Linked DNA regions of Bombyx mori. The protein of the gene in region 4 binds, or shares a complex with, the protein of the main gene of each other region. Links are inferred from orthologs where the notes say so. Each region holds a gene or a part of one and is shown on either strand. Other genes may lie near its edges. The genes, in order: pre-mRNA-splicing factor CWC22 homolog, protein CASC3, Y14 and eIF4AIII.

Region 1 (4,805 bases), on a different chromosome or scaffold from region 4:
GTGGGGCAGCCGTTGTAACTATACTGAGAAATTAGAACTTATATCTCAAGGTCGGTGGCGGCATTTACGTTGTAGATGTCTATGGGCTCCGGTAACCACTTCACACCAGATGGGATGTGAGCTACTAAAATGTTCACGAATAACAACTCTGTCGTCCGTAACCACGAAAACTGTTAGTATTCGAAAATAATCTATACATGTAAATAAAATTGGAGTGTCTGTTTGTAATATTGAAATAGCCTCTTTTTACTACATTCATATGAATATATACGGTAAAAATAACATTTTTTACAATTTTTGTCTGTATGTTTGTTCCAGCTTATCTCTGGGACGGTTGGACCGATTTTGCAGGGACTTTTACTGATAGGTAGCTGATGATATAAGGAGTAACTTATGTTACTTTTTTTAGACTAGCTTCGCCTCGCGGCTTCATCCGCGGTACGACAATAACCGCGGTTAACATCGCGGGGCTCAGCTATCAATAATAAAATTTAATGTTTCCGAAGCAAAGCGAGGGCAGTTCGCTAGTAATAAAGTTCGCAAGATTAAACCATAAAGATAGTTTTTGGTAAGCCGTAAACTTTGTTCACTGGTTCCGAAACCATCTCCTAACTCAAAAGAAAGGGTAAAGCTAGTATTAAATCACACCCATGAGCATAGCAATGTAGCAATTGTAGTTAAAATCAACATTCATTATTGTGAACCTCTCATAACAACTGTCATTGCTCTCAGCAATATATAATCGCTTGTCTGTGCCCTGAGCTATCCTTTCAAAGAGTTTCCACTGTCATTTGTCATATTTCCATTTGAAATTGAGGGTTTATTTATTATTATAAAACTAAAAAAACATCAAAACAAAGTAATACGAACGGATCTTGTAGACGGTCATTCAGTTTCTTTAGTCCCATGTATTCAGCCAGTTCTTGAAACAGAATCTTTATGTATATCCGACTAGAACTAGTTGTGTCTTCTTCGTTCAATTTAACACATTCCAAAGATTCCCAACTAATGGAATCTGTAAACAGCAGATGGGCGAAAAACTTGCTGACATTTCTGAGTCTATTCGTGTCCAACCTGTGTGCTGTTGAATATGAATCTTTGAAAATTTCCTCGAAAGGTCCGATGTATATTCTGTTGATGTTGCAAAACCTTTGGGCCAATAAGCCATAGAATTTCTCATATGTTCTCTGCTCAGCACAGCAGTCTAAGAACATGTGGCATAGTTCCACTTCTTGTCCTGGTTTCAGTTGCATCTTCATTAGTTTATGAGCACATTCTTCGAAATCTAAACTGGAGTTGATTGTCAGGTATATAGTGCGTCTCAGAGCCACTAAGTTTGTTTCTGTGTTATCAATAATAGTCATTTCTTTTTTTGGTTGTTCTTCATCTTCTTCATCAGATTCCTCACTACCGCTTTCTCCTGAACCATCTTCATCACCGGACTCAGCATCAGAACCAAGTATTTCCTTGCAAAGATTCTTGTACTTCTGTTCATTCTCTTCATACTTTTCATCAAATTTGAAAACATCTGAAGCATTTGGGAAAATTGTTATTTTTATTCTTTTATACTAATTTGCTTATTTTACATTTGTTTTAAATGGAGCATTAAGATAAATTGTTTATAACATTCAATAATGTTGGGCATAAATGAGTTAATACATACGATGGAAAATAAAAATAGGCTAAAATAATGGATATTGAATTCACTAACACAGAGTACTACTATCTTAAAACTTAAAGCAAAAAGTATATGAAAAAAAATTGAGATTGTTTAAGTTACATTTTTAAATAAGCTAAAAGCATTTTTATGTAAACTATATATAAAAATTTTTGATTAATCCTATTAAAAATTAAAACTTTACTCGTTTAGAGTGTTATATACACTCAAAACTTTTAGCATTTTAAGTGTTACAATAACTCTTGTGCATACCCTCAATAGCTATTAAATAACTTAGGGGAACAAATAATTCAATTGACAGACTGTACAGATAATCTACTTAAGTGTTTTATGGCTTATTTTTTTATGGATAGTTTAATAGAATATAACATACTCAGGATATCTTGAGGATCTGTAGCGTCATCCAGCATCAATAGATGTGTGAACTGTTCTTCTTCAGGCACGAGCTCCAACTCTTCAATCAGTGCCGGGTGGTCTTTGAACCCATCCTTCCAAACTTGGAACATTACTTCTATCATGTACTGAACTCTTTTGTCTAACTGACCTTCGTGCAAAATGTTCCTTAGCATCTCGAAAATTGCATTTACACCTTTAGATGATACTTCAGTCAATTTTTGGCCACATTCCTTTAAGAATGCTATGGCAACTTCAACTGAATCATCTGTTGGTGATTCAACTAGTAAAGTGAGAAGTTCTAAAGCCAGAATTTCATGTGCCACTCTCTGATTCACTAAATGTGCAATGAAAGATGCAGAGGAAATGCAAATTGACTTATCATTGCGTTTAAAACCTCTTTTGAATTGAATCACTAATCTTTTCAGTAACAACTCCCCGATATTAGGAAAACGTGAATTGACTGCTGATACTAGAGCCGCGTATACATTAGTGAATGTTGGCGAGGCTGCCTGGGCTTGAATAACAGAACGGCATAACAAACCTCGACCTCTGACAATGTTTTCTTTCAATAATTCCTTTATAATGATACCTATGTTACCGACATTAATTTTGTTGATGTGACCGTGAATTGACTTTTTGAGAGCTTCCCAGGCAAGTCTTTGGTAAGCTATCGAGGACTTATCCGTGATCTGCGCTTGCATCATCCTCAGTCTTGCTGGTGGAATGTATGCACCTCCTGTTCTAGTATTCAACATATCAGTATCTTTTGCGCGTCTTTCTGGCTTTGTAGAGGCATCTTTTTTTGTTTCTGGCTCTTTTTGTGTGTCTTTAACTCGTTTATCTTCCCTAGCCTTGTAATGAGGTGAGCGTGATTTGGAACGCCGGCGTTTACTTCTATACTCCCTATTCTGCTGTTCCTCAAGTGACTTAGATCTAGATCTAGCCCGTCTCGACCTTTTCGACCTACGCCTTTCATCATCTTCCTCGTATTTATCTTTCTTCTGCTTGGTGTTAGTCTTCTCCATTCTTATGATTTTTGTTTTGACACTACTAGACTACAATTGAACTTTTTATAAAAGAATTTAATACTGTATCTAGAACTCAATATTATTAAAACTATTCATTTTCAATATTATGTGTAAAATCATGAAATTTATTTCGATGAAAAAGTAGAACGTGCACTAAGTAAAATCCAGCTTGACCTTAATAAAACAGCCATTTTGTTTTGACATTTTTATTTTACTGTCATGTCAGTAGTAGTAGAGTAGTAGTAACTCCGTTTTCCAACTGAAAAGGTGAAGGTATCATACTATACGGCCTAATAAAGTAAAGTATTGTTTAAAAAAATTTAAATGAAGTTGTTTTTGCGACATTAATCAATTGAGATTTGAGATGACATTAAATGAAACGAAATGATATGAGATGAAATATAATATCAGTAAAATGGTGTTTATGTATTTGGACAAATTCAGTTAACTTTTTTAGATTATCCACTCTCGGCGCTGTTAGGTGCTAATTTAATGGATAATCCTAATGTTTGCAGCAAAGATTTTTTTTTCCTACCTAAGCTGATGTTCTAGAGAGATCATATCAGCGTCACCAGGCTAGTAGGTGAGCTCACGTTGCTCAAACCTGACGATGTTGCTAACACGAACCCTAGCAAGAGCAGTGCTGCGCAGAATCTACCACCGGATCGGAAACACGACCCACCGAAAAGATCTGGCGACAAACTCAGTGGGCTGTGTCTGTGGGTTAATTTATTCACCCAGTCCTTCGTCGCAAGCGAGGGGCTTGACGAGAACGATGACCGGTGCTTGGGGTACCTAAAAGCACCGTTAGTGGATCAGGAGGATCCGAGATGACGTATTTTGGGTGACGTCGAATGTTTACCATTTGGTCCGCAAGATCGGCAATGTAGTTATCGGCGGCCACGTTGAGAGGGTTCTCGTGTCGTCGGAGCCCATAGACACGTCATGATAATCGCCTTATCGTTGCCGCCGCTGATTACTCCCCGAATCCTGATCACGCAGGAGCAAGTCACCGTCGTCGCCCTAGACATGTCCTTACGGATCCATCAGATCCAATAACTCTTACATTAGATACCTTCAGCTCTAACACTAGGAGCAGGCTGAGGAACCCCGGTAACCGTACTCGTCGAACTCGACAAAGAGGTCGACGTGCAACCTAACCCATGCATCAGCTCGCTGAGTTTCTCACCGGATCTTCTCAGTGGGTCGCGATTCCGATCCGGTAGTAGATTCATTCGCGAAGCAATTGCTCTCGAGTTGTTAGGTCTCCTTCGGAGGCGCTCGGGTAGCTGTTAGCAAATCCCACCCCTCCTGGCTGAGCCTTTGCTCGCCCACCTGTCCTGGTGAAGCTGGAAAGGCCTCCGGGCCACCAGTAATCTTTCAATCATAAAAAAAAAACATTTACAACGTAAATGCGTCACCCACAAAGAAAAGCGGAAAGATTTCAAGAACAACGCCATAAGCAGCCACACTACAGCTATGCTCCGATAAGCACTGCCAGCATTGTAAGATGTGACGTCAATTTAATATACTGCGAAACTGTTCTTTTATAGTTAGCTATACTGGTCACTGTTTAAAACGGAACGTAATACAGTTTATTGTTATCGAAGATTTCTGTCGGTGTTTTCACTCTAACAAAAAATTATTGTTTAAATTTATTTATATTTGAAAAGAGAACATTCAAATTATTGTCGCTTAAATTA
Region 2 (4,159 bases), on a different chromosome or scaffold from region 4:
AAAAATTATTTTTATTCCGCAAAAAAATAGCAAAAATGAAAAATAATTGAAGATATTTTTTTTTTGCTTAGATGGGTGGAAGAGCTCACAGCCCACCTGGTATTAAGTGGTTACTGGAGCCCATAGACAACTATGACGTAAATGCGTCACCGATCTTGAGATATAAGTTCTAAGGTCTCAAGTATAGCTACAACGGCTGCTCCACCCTTCAAACCGAAACGCATTACTGCTTCACGGCAAAAATGGGCCGGGCGGTGGTACCCACCCGCGCGGACCCACAAGAGGTCCTACCACCAGTAAGTTTGAACATTATTATGGTTCCATTATCAAAGACTATATTTTATTATACTTCTATAATTACAGGTTTCGCCAAAACTACACTATAAACAATAAACAAAGCGTTTATATATTATGCGTGTATGTTAAATACATGGTAGTGTGTGTAATGTTTTTTTATTGATTTAATGTATTATAAATGCATATTTTTTTAAAAATATCAGCATTCTGCACTCCTCTATATTCTCTATAAGTGTGGGAAATTTCATACTCCTTCGTCCGCGCAATTTTCGTAAAAAGGGATACAAAGTTTTTGCTTCACGTATTAATCAATTGAAATACTCGCTCACAAGCATACAATTCCTGCCAAGCTTAGAGATAAACAGAAAAAATTAAAAATATTTTATTCCGCGAAAAAAATAGCAATAATCAAAAATAATTGAAGACATGAGTGGATGAAGGGGATATGATACAATTTGTTAATTTTGAGAAAGCGGGCAACAAACTTTTGTTGCTTGCACTTTTCTTCGCACATAACTCCTTCGTCACTTGCAATTTCTAAAACTTTTATGCCTGAAGTTTTAAGGTCTAATATGGTCTAATATATGCACATAACACCTTTATTCAATTTAGAAACTCAAAAATCTTAAAAATGATACTTGATCTCTTCATCCACTCTTGTCTTCAATATTTAAATGTTATATGTTACTTATGACGACGCTTGCAGCTGAAAGTAAGTATTGTACTTTTTGACGAAGCATGTTGCTGATAACTCTATTTCTGTAATCTGACGAAGCGTGTTGCGGATAATAACATGTACTTTTAGGTTAGAAATATTATGTTCTTTTTTTTAATAATAATTTTAAATGTTTAGTTTTCATAATTGATGTATTGTGGAAAATTGTTAGGCATTTGAAAGCTATACGTTTTGTTTCATAGTTACCAGTGGTCTGTTGCGGGTGAGGGTGAGAGGTCTGGTTCTGTGGTTTCGTTTGCAGGGGCGGCGACTTGTTGGGGGCTGGACTCGAGGGCTGCTGGTTCTGGGGAGAAGCATTTTTTATCGATAACTAGCTGATCCGGCAGACTTCGTAGTGCATCAATCGAGAAATAAAAGACCTAAACTTTTGTATAAAATAAACTTAAAACAAACAAAAGGAATCCGTTCGACGGGGGACACACCAAAGGAAAAACAAAATTGTTATTTTTATTTAATTCCGAGTGTTTTCATATTTATCTACCTTTTAAACCTTCCTTGGACTTCCACAAATAATTTAAGACCAAAATTAGGCAAATTGGTCCAGCCGTATTCGAGTTTTAGCGAGACTAACGAACTGCAATTCATTTATATATATATATAGATATATAAGATAAGATAAGATAAGATAAGATAAGATAAGATAAGATTAAATCGATCTATCGAACTCAAATCTGTATCTAATTCGAACAGCGCCCCTAGCGCAAACGAAGCGATGCTTATGACAAAGATGACAATTATTGTACGATATACCTGGCCGGGAAGCGGCTTCTTCTTGTTGATGTCCGTGGGCACTGGCCGCTGCTGCGCCACCATAGCGCTCACCTTCCGCTGCGACTGACCTTGGCTGAAAATTGTAAATCAAGCAACTGAATATATCATGCTTTATCAAGCAAGATCGAGGGACTACTGATTAATAATAGCCTTTGCAGCAGGCACTTAGAAGAAAAAAATTCTACTGTTGTAATTGTTACACTTTCTTCAAACAGTTTTTTTCTCCTACCGACACCGAAAGTTCGGTTTTCCACCCGCTGTACAGGGAAGAAAGTGTAACTTTTCGTCCCTCTGTACAGGGAAGAAAGTGTAACTTTTCGTCCCGCTGTACAGGGAAGAAAGTGTAACTTTTCGTCCCTCTGTACAGGGAAGAAAGTGTAATTTTTCGTCCCGCTGTACAGGGAAGAAAGTGTAACTTTTCGTCCCTCTGTACAGGGAAGAAAGTGTAACTTTTCGTCCCTCTGTACAGGGAAGAAAGTGTAACTTTTGTCCCTCTGTACAGGGAAGAAAGTGTAACTTTTCGTCCCGCTGTACAGGGAAGAAAGTGTAACTTTTCGTCCCTCTGTACAGGGAAGAAAGTGTAATTTTTCGTCCCGCTGTACAGGGAAGAAAGTGTAACTTTTCGTCCCTCTGTACAGGGAAGAAAGTGTAACTTTTCGTCCCTCTGTACAGGGAAGAAAGTGTAACTTTTCGTCCCTCTGTACAGGGAAGAAAGTGTAACTTTTCGTCCCTCTGTACAGGGAAGAAAGTGTAACTTTTCATCCCTCTGTACAGGGAAGAAAGCGTAACTTTTCATCCCTCTGTACAGGGAAGAAAGTGTAACTTTTCGTCCCTCTGTACAGAGAAGAAAGTGTAACTTGTCGTCCCTCTGTACAGGGAAGAAAGTTTAACTTTTTCTCCCTGGGTACTGACAAGTGCGCAAGCGCGTTAGTGTCTACGTCTGCTCTCACACACCAAAAATTCTCCGCCATTGTTGTGCTCAGGTAATTTGCAATATTGTGTTTAGTGTAAAAGTGAAATATACAAAAGGCAATAAAATTTAATAGTGAAGTATTAAACAAAGATGAGTTCATCAGACAGTTCTTATTTAATTAGTAGTATTTTAGTTAAAATTAAAAAACAGTTAAATTGTTTTTTTTATGAGTATGTGCACCGCGAGAAAAACGTAGGACATCTCATCTCGCGTGTTTGCCACCAAGTATTATATTCTTATATTTACGACAATATCTGAGAATCTCAAAATTTTAAAATGATTAGTGATTACCGTGGCAACAGTACTAATAATGCTCGAATCCAACGCACCCAATACAAAACGAATCCTCACCTGTTATTGTTGTTATTGTTATTATTCGCCGGAGCGGTGATTGTCAAAGTTTCGAGCGCCGGTAATTTCTTGTCCTGCGGCTTCAGGTTCTTCGGGGGCGTCGTCTTTGTGAACGGCGGCTTGGGCTTCGCGGTTTTGATGGAGGCGTTCCGGCGGAGCTGGGCGGCGCGCTCCGGGGACTCGCCCGCCGCCGGCTGCGACTTGGACCGAGGCCGGGGGGCGCGAACCTTCCTCCTGTTACACGGACCAATGCACAACCATTAGGGTACCGACGCATTATGCGGCTAGTAGCACTACGAGGATAGCGCTAGTTTGCATTTTTTTTTCCTACCTGATAGCCTTGAGAGGCTATGTCAGCTTCGCCCTAACGTGTGTAGGTGAGCTCACAGGGCTCAAACCGGAGTGTTGCGAACACTGGCCCTAGCAAGAGCAGTGCTTCGCAGAGTCCACCACCGGATCGGAAACTCAGTGAGCTGTGTCTGTGGGTTAATTCGCTCGTCGAGCCCTTCGTCGCAAGCGACAGGTTGGAAGAGGACGGTGACCGGTGCTTGTGGTGCCTAAAAGCACCGTTAATGGATCGGGAGGATGTCGAGAATTTACGTCCAGCGGCTTTGTTTTATTTTCCCACATTTGTGCACTTTCACAGATACTAAGCAGCTAATAAACCACCGTTATTACACATTAAAACCTGAAGAAACACCAAATAGACAAAATAAAACAAATCACACAACGTCACTCTTCGCAAAAGTCCTATTATCTCTTTCCCACAAAGTGTTGCCATTTAATTTAAATGTCGCACGTAAAAATTTTACCACATAAAATGGGATACAGGGGCATAGTTAATTAAAATATCATACCCTGGTTTCTTAGCGCTAGCTTCAAGTTCAGGGAAGTCCTCGGGGTTCGGTGGTTTTCTCAGCGGCAACGCGTTCTGTCTTCGGTACGCCTCCTCGTCTTCCCAGGTACGTGTGTACTTGTTGGGTCCACGACTATTTGCGGGTAATAAAAATATGCAATCAGTAATCATTGAT
Region 3 (4,623 bases), on a different chromosome or scaffold from region 4:
ATTACAGTCACTCATGATTTTACTACTAATTTCATTTCAATGTATGCTAATAGACTGAAACTCTGAAAGTTAGTTTGACATTGATTATTATTTATTTGATTACTCTATTCTTTTTTATTTTCAGATGATAAAAAATTCACAAGCTTAAAGAGTATATTAAAATTTTAAAAATCGCATTTATTTCAACTAAAGAATTAAAAAGAAAGATCAAAAGTTAGAAGTTCTTTTCATATTTGAAATAATTTAATCATATTTTATGATTTTCGAATATCATTGAAAATTGCATTGTACTTAAAAGAAGTGAAAGTGATAAATATATATAATAATTAAGTAACAAATAGCGGAGGAACTGGGGATACCTATCAGCGACGCACTCCACCGGGCTGCAGGGCGGGATCGATGGAGACAGTTGGTTGACGAAATCGGACGGAGTCACGATCCTCAGCAGTGAGGAACCGATCGAAGAGAGAGAGAGAGAGAACAGTTTCATATTATTCGAGGAAATTTGTATGATGATTAATAAATGTATACATATAACATAATTTTTTTGGCAATCCTTCCCTTTTTTTGGTGGTTTTTTAATCATATTTATGAAAAAAAAAATTGACATTTTTTTTGAAGTAGATATCTATTTGTGCTATTTTTTTATTTTTTCCTACTTATTCTGATAGCCTTGAGAGGCTATTAAATTTCAGCTTCGCCATAACTTTATAAACTTGACAGTATAAAGGCGGACTTAATGCCATTTAAAATACAGTTCTATACAATACACTTCTATTATGTATATTATCTATTTTTGACGTTGATGTACGATTGTTGTGGGACTTTTTGACGGGAACGCGAGGAATGAAGTTTTGTGATCTGTTTTGTTTTGTCTATTTAGTGCTTCTTCGAGTTTAAAGGCGTAATAACGGTGGTTTATTATCTGTTTAGTAACTGTGTAAGTGCACAAATGTGTGAAAATGAAACAAAGCCGCCGAACGTAATTTCTCGGGATCTTCCAAAAAGTGCACTGAAAAAGTCTCACTAAATGTCCACCATTTTCCTGAGATTATATTTCATCCCATATCATCTCATCTCCTTTCATTTCATTTCGTTTTAATTTCCATTCAATTTAATTTCCTGCCATATTTCATATAAAAAAAGTTTTCATTAAAATTAAAATAAGTCTTGACCTAAAAGTCTTAGTTACCAGGTCATAAAGTCCTTTAAAAATGTGATTGTCGTATACATGTCTTATCTATGAATAATCTCTCAAATATAATAAGTGTATAATCTATGGAATAATCTATGGTGGTCGTGTTTGATGCGGAGTTTTCAAGATTAATTTGTGTAACTTTTTGATTTTTTAAACTCATATGGTCTCTAGATAAATACATCTTTATTAATTACATTTTATTTAAATTATTTACTACTTCTCATAACGTAAATCTACTATAAAACATGGCTGACGTGCTAGATATCGAAAATTCAGAAGAATTTGAAGTCGACGAAGATGGTGAACGTAAGTGGAACAATTGATATTATTAAAAATATTTTAATCAAATTTTGTTTCCTATTCATTATCTGTAAAGTCTGCTCGTAGCTTAAACAAGCAATTATGTGTGGACATAAAACGGGAAATGTTGTCTCAATTAAGGTTATAATTTCCGACTGAATTTTTTTTACATTTGTAATGTTATTATCGCCGGTCGACGTTAAACTTTCACCACTGGGTTTAATTTAAATGCACACATACAAAATGATGCACACCAGACTTGTTAAGACATATAAATCTAACATATAGATTGCTTGTTCCCCATTTTTTCATATTTCGTGCTTTAGGACATTACATTGGTGATTCTTACGTGTTTTATAATTATTCTTGCACTAAATTAAGCTTAAAGTAAACTAAAAATTGTAATGTTGTTGATTTCCAAAAATAACACATAATATACTGGTGGTAGGAGCTCTTGTGAGTCCGCGCGGGTGGGTACCACCACCCTGCCTATTTCTGCCGTAGCAGCCGGGCAGCCGTTGTATACTTGAGACCTTAGAACTTATATCTCAAGGTGGATGGCGCATTTACATTGTGGATGTCTATGGGCTCCAGTAACCACTAAACAACAGGTGGGCTGTGAGATCATGCACCCAACAATAAAAAAAAAATTTAGTGTAAAATTACAGTATTTAAAAATGTTACAGAGGGAATCGCTAGACTTAAGGAGAAGGCACGTAAGCGAAAAGGTCGTGGTTTTGGCAACGAAGCCGGTGGAGGCAGTGCTGCAGAACGGGGTAACCGCGGAAGGTAATACACAGATTTTGTCATTTTCCATTGTACTGAATAATAATATTTCTTGCTAATCAACAGAAGCTCTGTTTCCACTCTGGAAAAACCCACAACCGAACCAGGCTTAACATGTCCAACAGTGGCCAAAACTTTGTATTGTTTTGTTGCAGATACGACAGTTTAGCTCCGGAAGGCGATAGCGGTACACCAGGACCTCAGAGATCAGTTGAAGGCTGGATCCTGTTTGTCAGTAATGTACATGAAGAAGCACAAGAAGAAGATATACAGGCAATTAAAACTTCTTTTATTTATATTTAGAAGATAAAATTTCCACTTTGTATCTACTTGTAGCTACTGTTTGAGACACACCTTAATTTGAAATGGTTATAATTACAAAAAAACAATGTGAAAGATTAAAAGGTATATTCCTATTTAATTAATGTGAAATGTGAAATAGGTTAAGTCAAAGAAAAGATATTTTGTCATGTCAATGTATTTGTTGGTAAATAGACACGCATCAATAGGGACATTGACATATTCATAAAAATGTGAATGTAGCCACTTTGAAACATTAGTGTAAATCTGTGGAATAGTATTGATCAATAATAATATAATAATTTAATAGGACTATAGGTTTTTTTTATTGCCTTTCTAGGCAACATGCGAGCAGTAGACGAGCATATGGCCCACCTGATGGTAAGTGGTCAGCGTCGCTTATCGACGTCAGCAATGCGCCAGGGACAGAGCCAAGCCGCTGCCTACATTACTACATTGCCAATAAGATTAAATTATTATATGACCAATAGAATAAGTATGTAATACAAATCCTTTTTTTTTAATAAAAATATGTCAAGTTTTTCATAGAATATATGCAGACCACTATTACAAATTTTATTGAAGTTCTTTAGGCGCGTTGTGAAAAATTGATGAGAGTGAAATTTTACGATGCACGCGCACCGTGACACAAATTTAACAGAAATGAAGTTGCCCACTAAATCGCTCATTAAAATACGACCGCCGTAACTTGGAGAGTCTGAATATAGCCGCAGGTGAACTTTCGCGCATGTTCACTCGTAAAAAAAAGTGTGATTAGCATTTATTTTTTACTAATATAAATGACAAAATTATTTTTTAATATAATTCATACTAAATATTATTAAATTATTAACATTAAATATATTTATTTAACATCTAAAAAAAAATAAAAATTAATAAAAATAAAGTATAACTTCTTACGCGCGTACATAAGTACACGCACCCTTTTTTTATAAGGATCGGTGATTCGATCAGTGGAAACAATATTAGTTTGTTTTGTTGACAGAATCAATTTTCCGAGTTTGGTGAGATAAAGAATATTCATCTGAATCTGGACCGACGCACAGGCTTCCTCAAAGGCTACGCTCTAGTTGAGTACGAGACTTATAAACAAGCCGCTGTAAGTACTTAGTGCTACTGATTAATATAAGACTTACTGTGCTTTGGTATCCACTTTATACATACTGAATGATGACCGGTTTTTTTTGATAACGCCATCTTGTTGTGTCTTTAAAGCGGTTAGTTGCCCTCAATTAAGAAAAATAGTATTATTATTCGCCAATAGATGTCAGGAAGAGTTAATTTTTGAAAACACGAATAAAACAACATTTTCTCAAAATAAATCGTAGCTAGATCGATTTATCGTCCCCGAAATCCCCTGTATACTAAGTTATATGAAAATCGTTGGAGCCGTTTCCGAGATTCAAATTATATACATATATATTAATATACAAGAATTGCTCGTTTAAAGATATCCACTGTATACATCTTAAACTTCGTATGTATCTTTTTTAATTGCTTTGTTTGGATGAAAGAATTCACGGCCCGCTTGATTATAATGGTTACTGTAGTCCATAGACACCAACAATGAAAATACGCCATCTAACAGGTAACATGAGTTGAAACATGACTTCAAGTCGAACCATATTACTGCTTCACAGCAGACCTAGACGGGGCGATAGTACCTACCCATGCGAACTCACAACAAGCCCTATTACTAGTATTTATCCATATTATGATATTTTCAGATATGATTTTATTACACAATGTTATTCATTCGTCCTGGATTACATAAGTTGCAAAGCAATTAATATGAAAATAGTCAAATATTGAAACCAGTTTGCTGAAGTCCATGGGCGACGGTAACCACTCACCATCAGGTGGGCCGTATGCTCGTCTGCCTACAAGGGCAATAAAAAAAAAAAAAAAAAAAAAAAAAAAGTTTTAATTGTTAAAGTTTGTTTTGTTTCATTGCTAAGGATGTCCAATAAGAGGTACAAAATGATTATTGGAACCTATAAATTGTTGTTACTCACGTT
Region 4 (4,710 bases):
AAAACTGAATTGAGGTTGTAGTTGCTATAACTTCTAGACATAGTCATCTATTACATACTATATAACACTATAAATTAGATATTAGACATTAAGCACTAGCCCATCCAACACTCAACAAAAGCCCAGAGGCATTATTACATAAATGCTGTCTGTAAAGGTGATCCATATCTCGTTTACATTAAAAAAAAAAGAGCAATTGTATTTTTCATATTAAATCACTAGTGATATTAGTTCACGAAATTCGAAACCATTCACATTTAGATCTTGAAAACTAAAAGTCTTCAAGATCGTATTGTTTTTATTTTAATAGAATTTCCATTACCTTTGACCAGAACGAAATTCCTTCATAATGTTGTCTCTCTCTTTCTGTGGCATGTCACCATGCATTGAACTGACAGTGAAGTTTGCCTCTTGCATCTTCTGTGTGAGCCAGTCAACCTTCCTCTTTGTATTACAAAATATTACTGCTTGGGTAATTGTCAGTGTATCATAGAGGTCACAAAGTGTGTCAAACTTCCATTCTTCTCGTTCAACTGCCACGAAGAACTGTTTGATACCCTCCAGTGTCAACTCATCACTGTAGAAAAAATGATTCTTAATTTCAAATACATTTACCATGATAGAAAATTTGTTTACTTAATTACTATTTAGCTTGCATAGGTTTATGTGTTGAGCAATTAACAAAATGATAGTCCATACAGAAATAAGCTTCATCCTAGAAATAGTATAGTTGATAATGCTAAAATAAAACAGATAGTTTTCTACACTTAATGTAACTTCTTTTCTTAATCTAAATCTCCTCTAGTGTTTCCTGAGTACTGTGACATAATTTTATTCAAATGAGATATCAGGCAAATAACCCTTAGCGTCACTAGTGTCCATAGGCGGCAGTAATCACTCACTATCAGGTGGACAAATTCCTTCAAGGGCAATATAAAACAAATATTTCATTTAACTTAGTGGGTGGATGAGTTCAAGGCCCACGGTGTTAATGGTGTTAAGTGGTTACCAGAGTCCATAGACACCTAGAACAGCTTTGCTGTACTGAATTCCATGGGCGATTGTCACCACTCACCATCAGGTGGGTGGTATGCTAGTCTGCCTACAAGGACACTAAAAAAATAAAATGACATGAGTTCTAGTGTCTCGCATTTTACAGTACAACAGCTGACCCACCGTTCAAACCAAAACACATTACTGCGTCCCAGCAAAAATAGACAGGATCGTGGTACCTACCCGTGCGGACTTACAAGACATTCCTACCACCTACCACCAGTAATTACGCAAATTATAATTTTACATGTTTGATTTTTATTATAAGATGTTATTCCTTCACTATGGAAGTTAATCGTGAACAATTGTGAAGTACGTATTTCATTAGAAAAATTAGTACTTGCCTGCAGAATTCGAACTTTAATGTGTATTTTTGAAATAATCATACAAACCGTTTTACTAATATCCTTATTGGATCAGTCATAAACTTTGATGTCATTTCCAATATCTCATGGGGTAGTGTTGCTGATATTAGCACAACCTGAGTTGCAGGAGGCAGATAGCGGTATACATCATAAATTTGCTCTTTGAAACCTTTGTTCAACATCTCATCAGCCTCATCAAGAACCAGCATCTTTATTGACCGGGTTCTCAACACACGCCTTCTGATCATATCTGAAAATAAGATTGTTTTCTTATAATCTAGGGCACCCTACATCTTGCAGTGGATAGATTATTTAACTTTTTCAATTATTGCACAAGGATGACAATTTATAGACACCATCCCTGTTCTGAGATGCCTGAAACCATACACATGGGTTTGTGGTGAGACTACTGTAGTGAGTAGTACTGTTGGTGAATTTGAGAAGTGGAAGTTAAGTTACTACTTTCAAGAAATAAAAAAGGTGAACCAGCCAGATAACAAAAAAGATCACAGAAGGTTTATCTTTGGTTTTGGAAACTAAAACAATTAGTACTTATTTACTTGGATTAGCAATTTTCATTTATTTACCAAAAACTCTGCCAGGTGTGCCAGACACAACATGCTGTCCGTAATCCAATTTCCTTATATCTTCTCCAAGATTGGTACCTCCAATACAAGCATGACATTGAACGTTCATGAAATCTCCAAGAGCTAATATCACTTTCTGAATCTGAGTAGCCAGTTCACGGGTCGGTGAAAGAATAAGTACTTGAGTTTCACGCAGAGTCGTGTCTAAAGTCTGTAGTATTGAAATTGAGAATGTCGCAGTCTTTCCTGTACCAGATTGTGCTTGAGCTATTACATCTCTGCCTTTGACTATAGGCAAGATGCTTCTCTGCTGAATTGCTGAAGGTTTTTCGAAACCTGTAAATTAACGTTAGTTATTACTAAGTGGTTACCGGACCCCACATACACCACAATACGGAATCTACCAGCCCCCAAGGTTTAACAGTGCGATTGATTTTAAATGTATTGTAAATTAGTATGTCACTCTTCGAAGCCGGAACGCAGAACTGTTGCGAAAAAACAGGACGACAGTCTGACAGACGGACGACCATAATACGGTCTAAAGCTGGTAAGATAATGCCCACATGATCGTTTATGTAGGCAGTTGTAATAATTATAAATAACACCACAATTTGTACTAACCATATGTGTATATTCCTCGCAATAACTCATCTCGAAGTCCCATGGAGTCAAAAGTGGGAATAACTTCGACATCTTCACTCGTGTCGAACTCAACATTCGACAAATCTTCCGACAATATTTTTCTATTGGACGATACTTCAGACGATGTCATTTTTCGAATCTAGTTCGCTTCTAAGTTTTTAAAATAACAAGTTATACGATAGGTGAAAATCTCTTAGAATCTGAATTTCTAAATTACTAAAGGGAAACTTAAGAAACTGTGTCCATAACCATAGATAACACCATAGATAATGAATTTAATTCCATAAGATAGATAATACATTTCATACATAAGATCCATAGACTATTAAGTGATTATTACGCTTTTATTAGCTCCATACCTATGTAGGTATGTAACGGAATCTTTGAATATGATTTTGACCACCTTCAAAATGTCAGATTAACTTGAAATTTGGCATACTTAGGTATTAAGGACCGATGATAATTCAATATTTTAAACAGTAGACTCGTTATTTAATTTCGGCAGTCAAAACAACAAATTAATTTTTGCGCCTTCTTTTCTTCACTTAGAAAATTTGGAAACTGTTTTATTTGCCTGAATGCACATTAAAGAATAATTTATGATAGATAATAAGTAAACTAAAAAATGAAAAATACATAATAGTTTAAAAAAACTAAAATACATGTTTTTATAGAAAATCCAACTAAAAAATGGAAAATAATGTAGTGTGCAACAACGTTACTTCCCACACATCACAATAAATTTATTTAAAAAAAAGCGTGGGATGCTTTTTATGAGATTATCAAAATGATAAGACTTAGCTAGCAATTTCTGTCAATAAAATATTTAAACTATTGACGCCGCGCATCTCACGATTTTCTATAAAAACGTGTATTTTAGTTTTTTTTAATTATTATTTATTCATGTATTCTTAAGCCGCGATAACCGGAGTGATGGTAAGAACTCATCCGAAAATAATGTGATTGTTTATAGTACTGAAAGGCGACGACGCGGGGGCTCATAGCTACTGACGAAACCCCTTACTAAAATAAATTAATAATGTTGATTTGTAGATAGTCTGTGGTTTCAAGAGTCACAGGTAACAATCTAAAATGGAAAAGAAATAAAACGGCTATAGATTATACACAAAGTAAAAAAAACGTGATACAAAACGCGAAAGAAGAAACGTTAAAAAAAGAAAGTTTTAGAGCGTAACCAGCAAAAGATATAATGCGGCTACAAATTTTAAAAATACATGTATTATATGATTCTATAATTTAACTGTTGAAATTGTTAACTGTGCTTTACAAGATTAATTTGAGATCTAAACATTTTTTCGACTGGGTCGAAACAAAACGCAATTAACAACGCATTCGTTCAGAGGTCGAACTGGTCGAAGGAATTTCGTTTTAATTTGTGGCCAAAAGAACGACCGTATTTGATTTTGAACGAATCAAAATGGATGCTGGGTGTGAATGAACTGTATACTGAAACCAACAGCTTTTCAATAAATTGTGTCGCGGGTTCGATTGATGATAAAATTCCTACGTAGGGGTATGAATTTAAAATTTTAAACAGTGAGCAAATCAGATTTCTTTCCTTTGCAGTCACTTTGCTTATTGTTGAAATCAGTAGTCACTGTGTCGGTAATGTGTTTTTATTACGGGATTCTGGGCGAGCCCACAGCCCGCAGGTGGTCATAAGATGAGGATTTCCAAGGAAATGTTTCATGTCGACCGTAATTCGCGAGTGTTTGATGTGTCGGTCTATCCATGTTCGTGTACGTCATGGCGAAAAAATTCGGACTAATGTGTCGACGCGCTGTTTGAGCGGTCAGAAATGAAATGCATATACAGGAAGGAACCAACACAACCCTGACAACATGTACCAAAATGACAGAGGAAGTAGACAGAAGACATGGCGTGAATGGTAACAGCAGCAGTAAGGGTACAAGTGATGATGTTCCAGTTCACAGCTCAGCTATCAATGCCACTGGAGGAAGACTCAAGTTCTTTAAAGGTTCGTACTACCTATTCATATTTCTCAGTCATATTATTTAATTAGATTAGCTTAAAAATGTGAG

What was found.
Region 1: the proteins of eIF4AIII (region 4) and pre-mRNA-splicing factor CWC22 homolog are in contact, whole or in part, in a crystal structure (PDB 4C9B), measured with the Homo sapiens proteins. The link is inferred for Bombyx mori from reciprocal best matches to the Homo sapiens genes EIF4A3 and CWC22. Residues at the interface, in NP_055555.1 of Homo sapiens: Met43, Gly44, Ile72, Ile73, Lys74, Gly75, Gln98, Cys99, Met183, Gln213, Val256, Ala257, Glu259, Trp263, Asp266, Thr267, Asp270, Leu271, Tyr272, Asp273, Thr274, Leu275, Thr276, Ile277, Thr278, Gln279, Ala300, Asn301, Phe302, Thr303; in NP_001362958.1 of Homo sapiens: Thr129, Gly130, Gly131, Ala132, Tyr133, Pro135, Pro136, Ala137, Lys138, Arg140, Lys164, Asn167, Gly168, Ile170, Asn171, Lys172, Val173, Asn174, Ser176, Asn177, Ile180, Ile181, Glu184, Ala207, Ser208, Ile210, Phe211, Tyr215, Lys330, Arg331.
Region 2: the proteins of eIF4AIII (region 4) and protein CASC3 are in contact, whole or in part, in a crystal structure (PDB 2J0U), measured with the Homo sapiens proteins. The link is inferred for Bombyx mori from reciprocal best matches to the Homo sapiens genes EIF4A3 and CASC3. Residues at the interface, in NP_055555.1 of Homo sapiens: Thr178, Arg179, Lys198, Ile201, Tyr202, Tyr205, Arg206, Tyr207, Leu208, Pro209, Pro210, Thr212, Lys231, Phe232; in NP_031385.2 of Homo sapiens: Arg217, Trp218, Glu219, His220, Asp221, Lys222, Phe223, Glu225.
Region 3: eIF4AIII (region 4) and Y14 share a complex: the UniProt entries of both Homo sapiens proteins name them as parts of the ALYREF/THOC4-EJC-RNA complex. The link is inferred for Bombyx mori from reciprocal best matches to the Homo sapiens genes EIF4A3 and RBM8A.

Annotation. Positions count from the first base shown.
Region 1 is NC_085110.1:1,337,447-1,342,251, forward strand, and holds the start of pre-mRNA-splicing factor CWC22 homolog, read right to left. Parts: upstream 3,329-4,805; 5' UTR 3,100-3,328; coding exon 2,052-3,099; intron 1,529-2,051; coding exon 871-1,528; intron 1-870. UniProt on the Homo sapiens protein: Required for pre-mRNA splicing as component of the spliceosome. As a component of the minor spliceosome, involved in the splicing of U12-type introns in pre-mRNAs. Promotes exon-junction complex (EJC) assembly.
Region 2 is NC_085126.1:2,182,437-2,186,595, forward strand, and holds part of protein CASC3, read right to left. Parts: intron 4,118-4,159; coding exon 3,986-4,117; intron 3,363-3,985; coding exon 3,129-3,362; intron 1,878-3,128; coding exon 1,784-1,877; intron 1,317-1,783; coding exon 1,220-1,316; intron 1-1,219. UniProt on the Homo sapiens protein: Required for pre-mRNA splicing as component of the spliceosome. Core component of the splicing-dependent multiprotein exon junction complex (EJC) deposited at splice junctions on mRNAs.
Region 3 is NC_085108.1:4,111,383-4,116,005, reverse strand, and holds the start of Y14 (RNA binding motif protein Y14), read left to right. Parts: upstream 1-1,305; 5' UTR 1,306-1,443; coding exon 1,444-1,504; intron 1,505-2,184; coding exon 2,185-2,287; intron 2,288-2,439; coding exon 2,440-2,557; intron 2,558-3,590; coding exon 3,591-3,704; intron 3,705-4,623. Other genes in the region: uncharacterized protein LOC101745843, read right to left, coding at 1-15.
Region 4 is NC_085131.1:3,884,972-3,889,681, reverse strand, and holds the start of eIF4AIII (eukaryotic initiation factor 4A-III), read right to left. Parts: upstream 2,899-4,710; 5' UTR 2,778-2,898; coding exon 2,627-2,777; intron 2,342-2,626; coding exon 2,006-2,341; intron 1,669-2,005; coding exon 1,446-1,668; intron 578-1,445; coding exon 323-577; intron 1-322. Other genes in the region: protein hairless, read left to right, coding at 4,472-4,646. UniProt on the Homo sapiens protein: ATP-dependent RNA helicase. Involved in pre-mRNA splicing as component of the spliceosome. Core component of the splicing-dependent multiprotein exon junction complex (EJC) deposited at splice junctions on mRNAs.